4 linked regions of the Oryzias latipes genome follow. The protein of the gene in region 1 interacts with the protein of each later gene in a pairwise test. Links are inferred from orthologs where the notes say so. Each region holds a gene or a part of one and is shown in the gene's direction. Other genes may lie near its edges. The genes, in order: receptor tyrosine-protein kinase erbB-2, pdgfra, hdac6 and ezrin.

Region 1 (4,118 bases):
ATAGAGGGGTAGTTGGACTGTTATAGCTGTTAAAATGTGATATATTTGGGGGAAAGGTGTGCAAACATACCCACTTTAAAGATTTAAAACCCTTATTTTGGCAATACCTTGTCATTTAAATGCAATATTTCCTATTACCAGTGAAATATACATAAACAATTTGTCTTAAAAGGTTATTACATCACAATTTATTTTAAGAAATTTTACCAAAACAAGTTCTTCTAGTTCCAATGTCAAATTTGTTTTCCCTTATAACAAGAAAAGAACTTCTACTTTTCTGTATTTTCAACTTGTTTAGAGATACATTTTTTTCTTCCATTGCTTGCCCACTGAAGATTTCTTTAAATTTGTTCCAGAAGTCATTATGAAAGTTTAGCCACTCTAGTGAATCAGTAAATGGTGAGATACAGAGATGTATGAGTCTATGCACTTGGGGAAAGTTTGGAAATAGAGCAGGAAAATTGTATTGTGTGCGTGTCTGTGTGTAAATACATATATGTGGGGGGGTTTTTTGGACAAAGCACAAGAAATGTTAGCCCCCAATAGACTGAAAACAAAAAGGATAACAAGCCTGAGAACATCTCACAGGATCAAGCATCTCCTTGAGATGCTACTGCTAAATCCTCCATAAACAACAATAATTACAACATAATCCAACATCTTGAAGTTTGTTGACAAAGACAGTCTGATCTAATTTTTTGGTATTTCTTGTATCATGGAAAATTTGGAGAAAAAAAAGTCCTGAAATATTGACTATTTCCCATATGTTATGATTTAAATTCAAATAAATTTAAAAATCTGCATTTGATACCTTCTGGGATTCTGGGGTGCCAGGAAGATCTACCATTGAAAATGCAAGGTGCCAAGTTGGTGAAGGTAGTAGTATTATGGTGTGGAAGTTTTTATTTTATTTTGTTGTTCCAACAAAAATGATTTTTAAACACTTCAGCACATTTTTATTTTAGAGAACTTTAAGTTCTTTTGGCAGTGTTCTAACATGATGCTCAAAGCTACAGCCTCATAAAGATGAGCGTTTAGAACACTTTTCAGATACATTTCAGTTGGAAAAAAAACATGTTTGAGTAGGATACATAAATTTGACCAATAAATAAATAAACATATATATATTTGTATGACAGAAGGAATCCATGCATTACAGTCTTTAATGTCACATTGATAAGCGTGTAGTGAGTTTGAGGTCTGCAGACAGAAATCTGTGATTGTGGGCGGAGTCAGAGTGCCACTCCTCGCGCAGGCCTTCACGGGAGCGCGCTTGTCACACTGTTACTACCAACAGTCCGAGTTCGGAAGTCTCCGTGGATAGGAAGAAGGGCAGCAATTTCACTAAGGGAGTCGAGATTAAAGCTGCTATTATTTTAAGGTCTAATATTTTAAGAAGGAAAAGACCTATTGTGTTTTTTTTGTCGGCTACAACGAATATTAGACAGACCTAACTCTGGAATATGGACTAAACGCGCCGGGTGCGAGCAGATGGAAGCCGCGAGAAGTTTGGTGTTTATCGGAGCCGTTCTGCTCGGAGTGCCGGGCGTTTTGGGCGGAGAAGGTGGGTGACTTTTGTCGTCTTTTGCGCTCTCACGGTTTGGGAACGCGGACATACTAGACCCCGTTCGAGTTGTGTTCGTGTGGACGTGAAGTGTGAAGTCGACGCGGGTTCCTGCATTCCTCGTACGTGATTTCGTCCTCCCTGCGGAGATTCATGGGAGTTATGGAGCGCAGATAAGGACAAAATTCCCACCTGTCAAAAAGTAGCTTCGCTAAAAGCTTTCAGTTTGAATTTCAATTACAAACTTACACTAAATTGAATAAAGAGAGTTAAAGCCACATAGTTGGGCAATAAACTCGAGAACTGGTGTTGAGATGCAGCAGAGCAGTGTTGGTAAACAACAAACAAACAAACAAACAAAAGCTCTGTGTGCAGAAGATCATCATGACTATGTCAATTATTCACTTCTGGCTCCTAAGGGGACATTGTCTGATAGAGGGCCACTTATCACACTTGGAGCTTGGAGTGCATGCCAGTAAAGTAAGAGCTAACTAACTGAAAGTGCAAATAAGAGCAAATTTGCAAAATGCAAATCAAGATTTCTTTTGTTTAAAGCCAAACCTGAGGAGTTTTTGGATTTCTTCATGTTGCAGAAAGTAGCACCGCTCTAAACTATTTGTTTCATTGTTTTTCACATTTCATATACCAATTATATAAAGTCGAAGAAAAGGAGTCAGATTTGAAAAACTCCAATATCATTTTTTATTTCTGCAAGAAAACCACAGTTTTCATGATTATTATTATGAACTAGTTTAATATCTGTTCTAGGAGGATTTAGCAATATCAATAAACATGTAAAACCTTTGCACAGACTGAGACTATGTGCAGACTTTATTAAATTGCCAGTTTTTGGGGTTAAAAACAACAAAAAGAGCCATGAATTTTTTTTTTTGGACTTTGATTACCAATTTCCAGCTCAATTAAGTTGAAAGACGAAATCCTTAGAGCACAAACAATACTCCTGTTTTATTAGCTGCCCCCGAAGCACTACCACTAATCGGACACACGCAGGAACAAAGCCAGTAGTCACAGGTGAAGTCATTTCTGAACGCGACAGCATTGTTGGGGGGAACAGGTTGGTGCACTTTAGTCTGCAGTGTTGATCTCTGAAGCATCGGACCTGTGCCGGAGTGCTCTGACTGGTTCCCAGAGTTAAGCAACATGTTATGCCCAAGTGTTGACTTCCAGCCTTCTTACTTTCATTTGTTATGTCACTCACACGTGTGCACAGCCCCTCTATGCAGGATCCTTGGTGTGAGGCGATTGCCTCAGTGGACGCACAGTTCACGCCCTTGTCATATTTTAGCGCACCTCAAGGCAAAGTCTATTTGAATTGACGCTAGTTGCAGGTTAACTCTGCCCGTCTAGACTGTTAGTGACCTGACCCACTCTGACTGAGATCAGGATGGTCGTTCTCTAAAAAGGCTCCGCTCACCCTCATGTTTTTCAGAGGAACGTCCGTTTTTTGGCAATAAAAAACTTTTAATTCAACCAATCAAGCATCTTATTGTTTTAATATTATTTTGCATCTTAACCTGGGCATTTAACACTAAGACACTATCATTTTTTTCATGTAAACCTTTTAAAGGCTGTGTTTGAAGATCAATTTGTTTCAATTAAAAAGACAATTCAAAAATATGAAATTCCTCGATTTAATTCTTTTTATAAGAATGTATCACAAATTATCTGGAAAAATGTATCAAATTTATTCGTTTCTATTGTGAGATTTCACAATATTATGATCAAAGGTTTTACTTTTGGTCACTTCATCACTAAACAACTTATTTTAAAACAAAAATTTGACCAGTAAAATGACATTTAATCAATTGTAATGAATCCTATCAAAATTTAGAATTTCTTATCAAAGACTTTACCAATAATCACACTAAAGTTCTCACTTCAGCTCAGGTTATATCTAAAATGCTTTTTTACTTGGAGGGAGATTTGTCTATATTATATGTTGTCATTATTTGTATAAAATGCTCAAATTGCCCTTACCCTACATAAAATGTTTGCATGTCAGTGTTATTTTATTGCATGTATGCAAAATGTGCGTGTGTGTGTTTTTTTTTTAAAGATTTTGTGCATGAATGGTTTCCCATAAGCTCAACTCTCATGTTCAGACCCGGCATTGGAGCAGCTAAATTTAAAAAGAGGACTGTGATGCGTTCACTAATAATAGTCAGTGGTGTGGATGCTTCATAAATATCTTGAAGGCTTGAAGCTCTTGGGTCTCTCCTTGTTGTCTTCATATAGATCCAAAGGTTAAAAAATATCATATTTATATGACTTTGATGCACATTTTTATGCCTTCAGTTTCCCAAAATATTGTCGGTCTGTAGGAATTTATTTGTTCTTTTGACCTGGAACTGAATTTCTATGATACACAGTACTCAGAAATCTGTCAAATTGTTTTAGCTCAATGTTGGTAAACTACATTGACTGTAGGTCTGCATGATATGAGGAAAACTTGCAATATTAGTATTCAATATTGTGATGACGATATAACTTGCGATATTTGAACAAATAGTAAAACTAGCAAAAACGTAATTCC
Region 2 (4,336 bases), on another chromosome or scaffold:
ACAAGTTAAGATTGTAGATAAAGAGACAGACAGACAGACAGACAGACAGACAGACAGACAGACAGACAGACAGACAGACAGACAGACAGACAGACAGACAGACAGATAGATAGATAGATAGATAGATAGATAGATAGATAGATAGATAGATAGATAGATAGATAGATAGATAGATAGATAGATAGATAGATAGATAGATAGATAGATAGATAGATAGATAGATAGATAGATAGATAGATAGATAGATTAAAATTTAAATATACATTATGAATTAAATCATTTGGGACTAAAAAGGTTTTTGATACTATCGTGGCTCATCACAATGGTTGAGCTAGTTTTTGAAACCCCATACAAAAAAATGTGAAGTAGGTTACATGATTGTTTTTTTTAAATACATATATACTGTGTCAGAAATACCTTTTGACATTCCTCCTCAAAGCCCCTGGTGGTCAGTCACAGGAAGGACAAATGGGATTAAACAAGAAACTCTTCCGGTCCAGAAACAATAAAACAAAATATATGATGTCATTATTTTATTATCCTGGGTTACAGAGAAGTAAATTCTTGTTTTCAGTGAAAGTTGACATTCCCCTTTATCAGTAAAAACACAATTATTTGTAAAGGTTTTACCTGCATGGCTGTATTTAGTTTTTTCTCAGAAAACCCATCAGAAGGTGGAGCTTCAGCCCAGTTTGAGGTAAATTTGCTCTTCTGAGGCTGAAGTTCTTTGTTTGGAGAACAAGGACACAGTTCTTCTAACATGTGGAAGTGATTCCACCAAGAGGCTGCATACGCGGAGCGGAGGAGGGGGTGGGGAGTGGGCCCCGGGCCCTTGCCTCTACCTTTAGGTTTTTCTGGTATTTCTGTCCTGTACCCAGTTGGTCAATGGGATCCATTGTTCCCGCCCAAGAGTTTGGAGACTCGCACCAACTTAAGCGGTTCTGCTCATAGACTTGGTTATCTGGCATGCAACCAATTTTGTTTTCTGGTGATGAAAACGATGTTTGAACGACCCTGATGTTTGAAGTCTCTTTTCTGTTGTCAGATGTGTGGTGGATGTGTGCCGCGCTCCAGGACTGCGCGTAAATATGATGGTGTTGGAGCGCCCCCTGCTCCTCTGGGCTGCAGTGCCTGATTCCAGCTCCACACACTGGATCCGTTCACTTAAAAAATCTGATTCTACATGAAAAATAAAAGCTATAATTGCTGTACCCGTGCGTTTCGAGAAACAAATCTCATCTTTTGCATGCGCAATAAAGGATCATAGATTTTTTAAACAACAGCCACGTTGGACTTAACCCAAATAAAGGCTTTTAAAAGTTTTTAAATCAAGAAATCAGTGAAATCTGAGTAAACATTTCATGATCAAGACTCTTATTCTCACTTTGAAACTGGGTTCAGCGCTTCACCAGAAGGGGGGGGGGTGTATTTCCTGAGCGTTATTTACTTTAAGCAAGATGCTTTGCTTTTTCTGCAGGGGCTGGAGGGGGAGGACTGTAACGTTGAATCAGTTACAGGTCGCCGTGGCTGCAGCGCAGTTGTGAAGGCGGTCGCTGATGCGGGCGGAGGGTCGCGCAGACAGACGCTCGACAGCGCATGATCTCCAAGGATTAACGCCGCTGCAAAGGAGCCTTTTTTTGCGCCTTTTTACTCGCCTATTCATTCTGGATATCATCGCACTAAAGCAATAGAGAGGGGATTAGTAAAAGGTAACTGAGAGCTCTATTGAAGTAGTTTCATAACTTATTTAAAAATCATTTTAATCTATTGTAGTAGGTTTTTGTTTGTTTCGTTGTTGTTGGTGGTTTTTTTTTAGTTTTGCTACAATCTTATCTAATTACCGCAGTATCCTTTTTCTGTAAACCTACAAAAAGTTTATCAAACTTTATTGGTGAATCTGTGGAGCCTCCAGACCTTGTAAGTTGTCATAACTTCATTAAGCGATGATTCGTAAAGGTTTTCGCCGGTTGTCTGAAGTCCTCTCTCCGGTCCCCCATTTGGCTGAGCGGGAGACGTGGCTCACGCTGTTGGATAAAGGCGCTCAGTTCTCGCCTCACAGCTGGATGTTTCACCTCCAAGACAGAAGGCTCTGCTGCGGGGTGCTGCTTGTGTTTAATTGGGAACACATTGGAGTGCTTACGCAGCGCACTATCTTCTCCTCTGGTGGAATTTTGTTGGGAATTCAAGCGGAAAATCTTTGGAGTGAAACTTGATGGACATCCAAAAGAGAAATGAAACTACAACAAAACGGAAAAAGAGGAGCTGGGGTTTTTTTGGTGGTGGATCAGTGGGGGGTTACTACATTCTCCACCTCCCAAACCCCACTGCGACACCAAGGACTTCAGCAGCTAAGGAAAACAGATCTCTGCATCTTCAGCGATGCACCTTTCTCGCAGCCCCCACTGAAGCTGAAGCAGATCATCTTCTGTCAGCTGCTGCACAGATGGCCCCCAGCTCAGCACAGGCTGCCTCATTCTGATTCTGTGCATTTGCCGCTTGCTCGGAGAGCAGGGAGCTCAGCATGACAGACGCGCAGGGCACGCGCGGAGCTGGAGCGCCTCTGCAGTCTGTTGACGCTCACGAGATCTCCGCTAAGGACAAAAAGCGCAAACCTAATGTGCATTTCGTCAACTGATTCCCACGCATATATACTTTGTGTGCAGAGGGTGCGCTAATTATAGAGTCAACAAACCCAGACTCTTAATGGACTGTTCGAGCTTTTTGTGCCGAGCCTCAGTCGGAGGAGAACCGCAGCAACTACAAGAAGAAGTTAGAGGACACTGATGAAAGACTCCCAGAACAATGTCCCAAAACAAAAAGTCACAGAAGTGATTCAAAGTACGGATTAGACACAGAGAGCTGCGGTTTAAAGTCAGACAGAACCACAGTGTCCACAGTTCTGTGTTTTTCTCCATCAATTCGCACTGAAGGCGGTCTATCCTCAAATGATGGACTGTGTCGCCCTCTACCGGAGCATTTGTGCTCTGCACCATCCTCAAATCACTAGATTATTTTAGACTTGGTTGATCTCACCTCGAAAGACTCCTTAAACTTTTTGACTACGGTAAAGCATAACGTGGGGAGCATCGACATTCTGACCCCCCCCCCCCCCCCCACACACACACACATACACGCCCCCTTTTGTTGAAGGAACAAAACCTTAATCAAACTGGCAACTAATGGAGAATTTGCAAAAACATTCTAAATGGTGTGTTGTTTTCTCTCTGTTCTGTCTTCACAGGCCTGAGCATCCATAACCATGGGTGGGGTGAGAACATTTGCTGTGTTTAAGAAATTCCTGGTGCTGCTGGTTCTAGGTAAGTAGGTATTTGAGACTGCAATGAATTTTACAACTTTTTCCCCCCATGAATCTCTGTAATGGTTGCAAATCTGTCCCTCAGGCACCTCTGCAGTTGCAAGACCAACCATCACCCCAAACCTAAAGGAACTTTTTCTACAACCTCACTCTTTCCTCAACTTGACCTGCTTTGGGGAGAGTAAAAAAGTCTCCTGGGTCAAGCCCCTGCCAGAAAACTCCATAGTCATTACAGGGAACAACTCAGCCACTCTGCTCATTTCCAGAGTCACTGTGGGGAACACAGGCTTTTATGTGTGCAATTATGAAGAGCAGCAAGATAGTGAAGTTGACATTTATGTCTTTGTTACAGGTCTGTTTCATTTTATATTTGCAAGGACAAAACACAGAAGTGAACACATTCCTTAACAAGAAAGCCATGAAAAGAGTATTGTGTGTTTCTTGCAGATCCCAGCAACCTGTTTGTCCCCGAGTCTCCAGAAAACATTCATCTCATCCTCTCCCAACACATGGTGGAAATCCCGTGCCGTGTATCTCACTCGAACGCTCACGTCATCCTGAGGAGGGTGCCCAGTGGAGAGCCGATTTCCTCTCCCTACGATGCAAAGATAGGCTTTTTTGGGATTGATGTTCCTGGGCAGTACCAGTGTGAAAGTTCTGTCAATGGCCACACTGTAAAGAGTGACATTTACATCGTGACCCATGAAGGTGAGCAGATATTCTTGTTGCATAGTTCATTTAAAAACACCAAAGAAACAATTTCAACGCACTCCTTTTTTGGGTTTTGTGGGAGCTTCATGTTGCATGTGTATGTGGAGGTGATTACCTCACACAAAAGTTTATTTCTGCCGGTGTCTGTGAGTGACGGTGACCTATATCAGAAATGAGGAAACATGTTTTTTGCCTGTGAGATGGTAGTGCTTATGTCTGCTCTTATTTGCAGACAGTTGCAGAAACTTCACACTGGAAGTTACAGCCACTGAGAGGACAGTGAGAGCTGGCCAGCCTCTCAATATCACA
Region 3 (4,084 bases), on another chromosome or scaffold:
ATTTCAAAAGTACCAATAAAACTATCAAACTTTTACAAACAAGCCTTAGAATTTGGGAAGATGCTTTTCAACCATAACTTCTCCCCTCACAACACTGTTTTATGGAACAACAGATTTATAACTGTAAACAAGAAATCCTTGTTTATGTCTGAATGGTATGGTAATGGTGTGTATTTTGTCCATGACTTGATGCGTACTGATGGAAGGCTGTTATCATACTATGAATTTGTAACCAAATACAAGATTAAGGATTCTAGTAACTGTTATAACAAAGTCTGTAAAGCAATTCCCATACCTCTACTTAATCTCATTCAAAACATACTACAATACAATGAAATCAAACCACAACTTTCGGTGCTGAAAATTAATAATATTCCCCTAAAAGATAAAAAATGCAACAATAAATTAATAACTCTAACCTTTAAGCAATTAATTTTCTGCAACTTTAGTATAAACAATAGATGCGATTTAGAAACCACCCAAATGAACAAATCTTTTTCTTTATACATAAAGTACCCACTTCCTCCTAAAATGAAAGAAACGCATTTTAAAATAATATCTAAAATTTACCCTGTTGGAGATTTTTTACATAAAAGATTCAAATTTGAATCGGAACCATGCATATTCTGTTCATCTGAAACTGAAACATTAGAACATCTGTTTTACAGTTGCAACCAGGTTAAAATATTTTGGTCTGATATACACAATTGGTTGTCAATCAAAATTTTAAATATTCCCTTTTTTTCCTTATATGATGTTCTTTTCTATATGGAAAATCTGGACCCGGGAATTTCTGATGTCATTAATGTTGTTATTATTTTATGCAAACATTTCATTCATTTGTGTAAATGGAAAAATACATGCCCTCTATTTAGTATTTTTTTGAATTATTTTTCTGATTATTATAAGTGTCTTAAATGCATTCCTAACAAAAACAAGAAAACTACAGTCATTTATCAGAATATATCAAAAGTATTATTATTTTGAATTGTTTTGGCCTTGCCTTTGCCTATTATTTCATTTTTGTTTCTTTTTCTTTCTATATGTGCATTTATAACGTTTGTTCACCCTAATTTGGTTTGTATATGAGCATCTATAAAAAAAAAAAAAAAAAAAAGGCACACACATTGTTAAAAATATTACTATTTTTCGTTTTTTTCAGTCTTATATGTGTGTTTGATATTAACAATTGTTTATTGAGCAAGTAAGTGACTGTGAATGTCTGTAAATTGAAAAATGTACAATAAAGTTTGTTTAAAAAAAAAAAACCAGGCGATCTGCGGGCGCCTTCGTTGTGGCGTCATCTGAGGGCGACAGTGCGCGTCCTGGCGCTTTGATAGACTAAACAAACAAGAGCGTGCAGATCCCGCAACCAACCAGTTCGATTCGGACATCCTCAGTTCGCTCTGGTAGGAAGTGTTGTAGTAGAACAGATCCACAGGAAAAGAGGTCCGGTTCTGCCCCCCCCCCCCCCCCCCCCCCCCCCCCCCCCCCTGATTCAGTGGTTAGCTTCAGGTATCGTGGTTTTGGTTTATTTATGTTACAGTCAGAAAAACGTTATCAAACCTGGAGAAAATGACGGTGCAGATTTAGTTTTTTCTGAAATGTGTTGGATCTGTAAAACTGTCATAACTGAATGGCCCTGACAGACAGAGAACTGCGCTGATCTACACTCTGCTGCTCTCCAGGTGACAACCAGCCATGCAGCCTGGGTCAGAACCTCCACGATCTGGATCCAAGTCGGTCAGAAGGTCTCCACGTCTGTCATCGCAGGTCAGTAACACTCAAAACTACGTCCAGATCGTAATGGAGGTTGATCTGACCTCAGGTGATCTGCTAATAAAGATGCTTACAACATTTTGTTTAGATCTGCCTTCTCTGGTGTTTGCAGACATTTCCAGGTTACTTTTGCTTTTTTAAGGTGTCTTCAGGGGTTTCCAGGCATTTGCAGGCTTTTCAGGGCATCATTCACAATTATTTAAATCTCACTCAATTTATCGATAGTCCTACCCGTCCTAATATTAAGTGCCCCTCTAGATCATCCTTGATTGATCTCATTTTGACAAATGCCCCACACAAGTACACTAATAGTTCATTCATTCATCTTCTTGACCGTTTTTTCCCTTTCGGGGTCACGGGGTTGCCGGAGCCTATCCCGGCCACTTGGGCGTAGGCAAGGGATACCCTGGACTGGTCGCCAGTCTGTCGCAGGGTGGAATATCCTCAATCACACATCCATCCACTCTCACACTCACACCTATGGACAATTTAGAGTTGCCAATCAACCTATGAAGCATGTTTTTGGACAGTGGGAGGAAGCCGGAGATCCCGGAGAGAACCCACGCATGCACGGGGAGAACATGCAAACTCCACACAGAAAGGTCCCCCATTGATGTTGTGTTTTTCATGTCCCCCAGCCGGGACTTGAACCGGGGGCCTTCTTGCTGTGAGGCAAGAGCGCTAACCACTGCACCACCGTGCAGCCCCTACACTAATAGTTATTTTTGCAAATGACCTAAGGGATATTATGCTTTTCTCGCCATCAGAAATCCCTTAAAACTTAATCTCATATCCTGGTAAAAGAAATAAAAAAGCTAAATAAGCAAACTTTTCCACCACCATCTGCAGACATTTTCATGTGTCTTCAGATGTTTTCATGTGTCTGCAGGTGTTTTTATGTGTCTGCAGGTGTTTTCATGTGTCTGCAGGTGTTTTTATGTGTCTGCAGGTGTTTTCATGTGTCTGCAGGTGTTTTTATGTGTCTGCAGGTGTTTTCATGTGTCTGCAGGTGTTTTTATGTGTCTGCAGGTGTTTTCATGTGTCTGCAGGTGTTTTTATGTGTCTGCAGGTGTTTTCATGTGTCTGCAGGTGTTTTCATGTGTCTGCAGGTGTTTTCTTTAGTATTTACTGGTGTTATGTGTCTCTAGGTTTTTCCAAGTTCTTGTAGGTCTTTTTTAGTCCACATGTCTTTTTAGGCTTATGTGAGTGTTTTTAAGTGTCTTCAGAGTTCTTAAGTATTTGCATGTGTTTTTCTTACTGTACAGGTGTTTCTACATCTTAAAGTGTTTTAGTTGTCTGCAGGTTTCTCTGTAGTTTTTTGTTTATTGACACATAAAAGTGTGGGCGTGGTATAGAGGTAGAGGGGTCATGCATGACCTTAAACATTTGAACACATTTGCAGCTTGTCAACCATTCTTAGTGTTGGATTTGCCAATATCCTTCTCGAGGGTTCAGGGTTCAGCACAAACCGCAAAAGTTAGACGGGGGTGGGAGGCGGGGTGTTAAGGACAAACATATCATTTAAACAGTCAGGTGAGTGAGACCGTGCAGCTATCTTTGATTAGCTATACCTTGCATTTGTGCAATTTGTGTTTGTGTTTATGATGTTTTAACATTTTTGTGTGGTTTGCGTTAGGTTTGTGCTTACAGGTTCATTTTTTTATGCTTGCCACCCTGACTGTACGAAGGAAAGTCAATCAACTACCCAAGGTGGATTTGGATCCGCCACATACTAAACGTTCACATCTTCTGTCCTCCCTTTTTTCTTCAGGACAGCAAAGATGGAATAGAGGAAAGAAGAAGAGGAAGCAATCTGCAAGAAGTGAAGAGGAGAGGAAGAATTGAGAGAAGCTATCAGAAGGACGAGGAGCTAAGTAGTATCATGGGGGCACTGGTGAGACTTCAGTTTGACTTTATTCCGTAGTTAGTAGAAACGGCTAGGCTTTGCTTGACCGAAGTGGTTTGTTTTTAGTTACTCGTTTATTTTGTTTTTTCAGGGTCCATAATGATTATTAGTAGTCAAGAAAGCTGGTAACTGATATTTGGAGCCAATATTTAATAGTAGTAAAATTTCAAATATTGGCATCCAAACTTAGAATAATACAAACACCAACAATTAACTTGTTGTTTTTTTTATACAGAAAAAAAGCAAATAAAAAGCTCCTAGAAGTTCAGGGAGTAAGGGGCTCAGCAGCATCTTTTTGAAGTAGTAAAACATATTAAATAAACAGTTCCTTAAAGTTTTTATAGTAAATAAAGCAAAGCTTCAACATAAATAAAATGACTTATCTTTGTAAAAAGTTTT
Region 4 (4,227 bases), on another chromosome or scaffold:
ATTTGTTAACTACTTTAATTGGAAATCTACAGCAAATATAAGCAATTAAAAACCCACTAAGATAAGATAAGTTAAACTTTATTGATCCAGCCGTGGGGACATTCATCTGTTACAGCAGCTCTGGAGATCAGGCAAAAGAAAAGTAAAATGTGCAAAACAATTAAAAGTATGGTTAAAACAACATAAAAAGATCAAATAAAATTATAAAACTCTTCAAAAACTCTCATTATATACTTAATACTTGCATTGCCGGAGAAAAAGAAAACAACAGAACTAGAAAAGCAGTAGAGCATTGAATGTTTCTGTCAGGAATAAACCAATATTGAATCTGTTGTTAGACTAGGTTGTACGGTCTAACAGTGGTTGAATGAAGGACCTTCTTTTATACGCCCCTTCTTATATTGTGCGTGTAACACTCTGCTGCTGAAGAAGCTGCTCAGCGCCTCTATACTGTCTGATGTGGTGGGTGAGAGGTGTTGTCCATGATCAATCTCAGTTTTGCCAAGATCCTCCTCTCACTTACCACCTCAAAAGAGTCCAGTGGGGAGCCCAGGACAGAACTGGCTCTCCTGACCACCTTTTTCTGTTTCTTCCTGTCCCGGTCTGTGCTGCTTGCTCCCCAGCAGACCAGAGTGTGAAGGATTGCAGAGGCTACCACAGAGTCATTGAATGACCTTATAGGAGAGGCCTGCTAACTCTAAAGGACCTCAGTGTTCTATGGTGAGGCTATTTTGGCTCTTCTTGTCCAGGTGAACAGTAAACAATTTAACAAAGGTAAAACAAAGTGGGTGAAAAGAAACCTTCATTATAAAAACATTATGTAAATACAAAAGTGTCTGGAACTGTTTCAGAAATGTAATATAGAAACATCAGTTATGAAATGGAACTAGAATCTGTATTAAGTACAATATTAAAAAAGGAAAATTTTCAACAAAAAGGTCTTTTAAATATATTTCTATTTATTGCAGAGAAATGTAAAAAACATATTTAGACAGCCAAAAACAGAGATTGAATTCCTACTAATATCAATGCGCAGAAATAGATTATAGTATTGATTATTCAATTTTGATAAATAGAAAATATTGATATAATAAATAAAATTAAAACAGTTTAAAATAAAGTATTTTAAATTCAACTTGTTTTAAATTTACCTGCATTTTAATTCTTCTTTTTTTCTTACTATTTGTGATGTGAATATAGAACTCCTTCTAGCACCCTCTAATAGGCTCATCCATTGTTAACAAACAATCAAAACAACAAAAAATAATGCTTGATTGAAGAAATACCACGATGATAAAAAACCAAACAAAAATATGGGCGTGATTGGAGAAGGTTGCTTTCTTTTGTGTTGCATGCTTTTATTTTGAAGGCAGCAGCGCGCATGTCAGCTTGCCGGCTGTTGGAGGTGATTCATCCCGGTGACTGTCGTCCGCAGGAGTGGCCTGCGTCCTCAGCCTTTAAGTCAGAGTGAAAAGTTGAAAACTCGTTTCTCTGCTTTTCTCTGATCTCATTTACAGACGCAGCGAGAGGCGCTGTCACAAGGAGCAAAGCTTTATTTATTTTATTTCCTTTTAGAGGACTCTTTCGATCAACCCAATTCCTGCTGTTTATCCCGGGAGAAGAGCAGCAACATGCCGAAAGCGGTAAGTCACTCTGCTGTTTGAGGAATTCCTGCTTTAGGAGGAGAAAAGTTGCGGAGAGCGCACAGGTGGCGTTCGTAAAGCCGGCGCGCGTAGCCGCTTTGAGGTCACCCTAATTGAGACGTCATTCCATTTTTACGCACAAAAACCTCATAAATCTGTTAAAGGAGATGCTGGTGTCAGACTGATGCTGCCTCACTGAGGGTTTTTCTTTTAGATTGAGGAGGGAGGCGGTAACTGTTGTTTCCCTTTGGTAACTTAATGTTCTCAGGAATTCATATGAATATTATTGAAATATGTATTAAAAAAAAGGAAATTTGGGGGGGTCAAAGTTGAATCCCATTCATCCAACTTCAGCCTGGGGGAGCATCACTTTCCCCTAATATCTCCAGAAAGGATTTGTTTGATATGACGTTACAAAGGAGGCCAGTTGTTATCAGTCATCCTCTGTGGTGCACATCACAACCAAGTGTGTTGTTTTTAAATGGGAGGATGCACCGGTTTAACTGCAATGTCCTTTTTCCCTTTTTGTTGCTGTATAAAATCGTGTCATAAATATATGCATATATGTTTGTTTGAGGAGGCTGTGCCTTCAGCTCCTCCTGACTCACAGTTTGCCCCACCCCGGCCATTGCATTCTGAACAGTCACACATGTCTTTCCCTCAGCTCCCTGCCTGGAAATTTCTGGTTCCGTGCTCACATTTAAGTGTCAGATGGAAAATATGATGGGGATTTCTTTGGACGTGACTTGAACTGACCCTCGTTTATTAATTTAATATACAGTCTGGGCCTGCACATTACAGGTGGACTTAAATATTACAGTTGCAATGAAAAAATAGCAGAAGTGCTTCACGCTGGTCCATGTGGTGATCATCACAGCGGCGGTCAGGACCATAAAGGCTGCCGTTGCTGTGTTTAGAGAGGCATTGGGGTTGTCAGGAGCCTTGCTGTGGAAATGACACCATCCTCATCTGATGGCAAAACAACATTGTTAGGCATGAAAGAAACACTGGGTGTTTATAAGGACAAAGGAGCTGTGACATGCATTTTTTATTTATATAATTTTTAGATTAGATCTGTTATGTTTTTCTGTCAGGAAAAATGAATCTTTTTAATACTGTTTCACTGTTGTGGTAGTCTTTAGTAAAATCTGAAATTACATAAAGTTCGAGATGTTTTAAAGCCAAACACATACAGGTTTTAGTTGGATTTACAAAAAAATTAGTTTTGATATAGATTCTAATTCCATTAGTCAAGTTAAGTTGGAGGCTAAAATGTTTAACATTTAGTTATAAAACCAACAGTAACTGTAACTAGAGATGCTAAATAAAAGGTGCCTGCAGAACCACCATGAAAGGTTTGTGTGTGGTACCCTCTTCAGTACGACTCAGCCACATTCCACGTCCTTTTGTCCTCTTCTTCAACAGCTGCCCTTATCTAGCATGCAGACATATTTCAAACAAAGGTCAGCCTCTATTCTTGGCCATTCTTCACTCCTATATTGTGTTTGAGTCAGTTTTGATCTGAACACAATATAAGAGTTAATGTTGGTTTTGCAAACTAAAAAATGAAAACTAACAGTATTTTGCTATTACAGCTCCGATGTTTGGTTTGTATTTGTGTGTGTCTATTGTAAAGCTTGTCTATTTATAACATTATGCCTCATATTGGATTGATTTGAATGACATAACACTGTTAGGATCTCTGTGCTGTGTCTCGGCTCATGACAAAAACCACACAAGGTGTGGTCAACATCAGCATGGGCGTTTTCTTTTTCGGTGCGATTCTATTAATGGTACTTCTCTTTTTAATATGTGATGACTGGGTCAAATGAGCCCCCCCTAGAGATGATTACAAAATCATCACATGCCTCTGAACCCTGTGTGTTCAAATTTTACATCCGTAGAACTTGCATACAGCAGCTTCTTTGTTTTTATGACCTTCTTGCGCTCTAGTGACTTTACTGGGATATCCATGGCGACTCCCATTGTTACTGGTTCTTGTAAAGCATTTGAGCTATGCAGAGGGCAGAATGCTGGATGGTTATCAATGAAAAACGCAAAGGTGTAGCGCAGCTTATCCAGACTTCATAATGAACCAAAATCAGCATAATCATTAAAAGATGATTGACTTCCAGATAGTCATCTTTTATTGATTATTCTGTTTTAGCCATTAAAAAAAAAACTGTCATTTTCTATGACATTTTCTGCAGAGCAGCAGTTGCTCATTAGAAATCTGCCTCAGAGTTGTGTGCGGAACTGCTAGCGTCGAGTAAGCCTACCCCACTTCCCATCACCAATCTGTTTAAACGCTTGCACCGCATGGCTCTATACTGTCAGAATTATTAGATTTATGATGGATGAAAACTATCAGCCATTAAGGCTAAAACTGTCGTTTTCAGTCATTATAACTTTTCATATATATAGTCATAGGGTTTGTCAGTTTAGGATAGGGGTGTTCAAACGTTTTGCAAAGAGGGCCAGACTTGGTAAGGTGGAAATGTCAACCATTCGGCTTGACGTTCTATTAACTAATGACATTAAATTTAGTTTTCACAGCGTTCAACCTAGCATTTCACCGTTAACC

The links.
Region 2: the proteins of receptor tyrosine-protein kinase erbB-2 (region 1) and pdgfra interact in a protein complementation assay, tested with the Homo sapiens proteins (2 studies listed by BioGRID, with this or other methods). The link is inferred for Oryzias latipes from reciprocal best matches to the Homo sapiens genes ERBB2 and PDGFRA.
Region 3: the proteins of receptor tyrosine-protein kinase erbB-2 (region 1) and hdac6 interact in a protein complementation assay, tested with the Homo sapiens proteins (2 studies listed by BioGRID and IntAct, with this or other methods). The link is inferred for Oryzias latipes from reciprocal best matches to the Homo sapiens genes ERBB2 and HDAC6.
Region 4: the proteins of receptor tyrosine-protein kinase erbB-2 (region 1) and ezrin interact in a protein complementation assay, tested with the Homo sapiens proteins (2 studies listed by BioGRID and IntAct, with this or other methods). The link is inferred for Oryzias latipes from reciprocal best matches to the Homo sapiens genes ERBB2 and EZR.

What each region holds. Positions count from the first base shown.
Region 1 is NC_019877.2:7,422,705-7,426,822, reverse strand, and holds the start of receptor tyrosine-protein kinase erbB-2, read left to right. Parts: upstream 1-1,261; 5' UTR 1,262-1,491; coding exon 1,492-1,564; intron 1,565-4,118. UniProt on the Homo sapiens protein: Protein tyrosine kinase that is part of several cell surface receptor complexes, but that apparently needs a coreceptor for ligand binding. Essential component of a neuregulin-receptor complex, although neuregulins do not interact with it alone.
Region 2 is NC_019862.2:528,991-533,326, reverse strand, and holds the start of pdgfra (platelet-derived growth factor receptor alpha), read left to right. Parts: upstream 1-1,515; 5' UTR 1,516-1,709; intron 1,710-3,241; 5' UTR 3,242-3,259; coding exon 3,260-3,317; intron 3,318-3,401; coding exon 3,402-3,668; intron 3,669-3,763; coding exon 3,764-4,024; intron 4,025-4,259; coding exon 4,260-4,336. UniProt on the Homo sapiens protein: Tyrosine-protein kinase that acts as a cell-surface receptor for PDGFA, PDGFB and PDGFC and plays an essential role in the regulation of embryonic development, cell proliferation, survival and chemotaxis.
Region 3 is NC_019865.2:34,325,603-34,329,686, reverse strand, and holds the start of hdac6 (histone deacetylase 6), read left to right. Parts: upstream 1-1,281; 5' UTR 1,282-1,409; intron 1,410-1,498; exon of another isoform or gene 1,499-1,515; intron 1,516-1,682; exon of another isoform or gene 1,683-1,688; 5' UTR 1,689-1,701; coding exon 1,702-1,773; intron 1,774-3,550; coding exon 3,551-3,673; intron 3,674-4,084.
Region 4 is NC_019882.2:6,207,427-6,211,653, reverse strand, and holds the start of ezrin, read left to right. Parts: upstream 1-1,402; 5' UTR 1,403-1,631; coding exon 1,632-1,643; intron 1,644-4,227. UniProt on the Homo sapiens protein: Probably involved in connections of major cytoskeletal structures to the plasma membrane. In epithelial cells, required for the formation of microvilli and membrane ruffles on the apical pole. Along with PLEKHG6, required for normal macropinocytosis.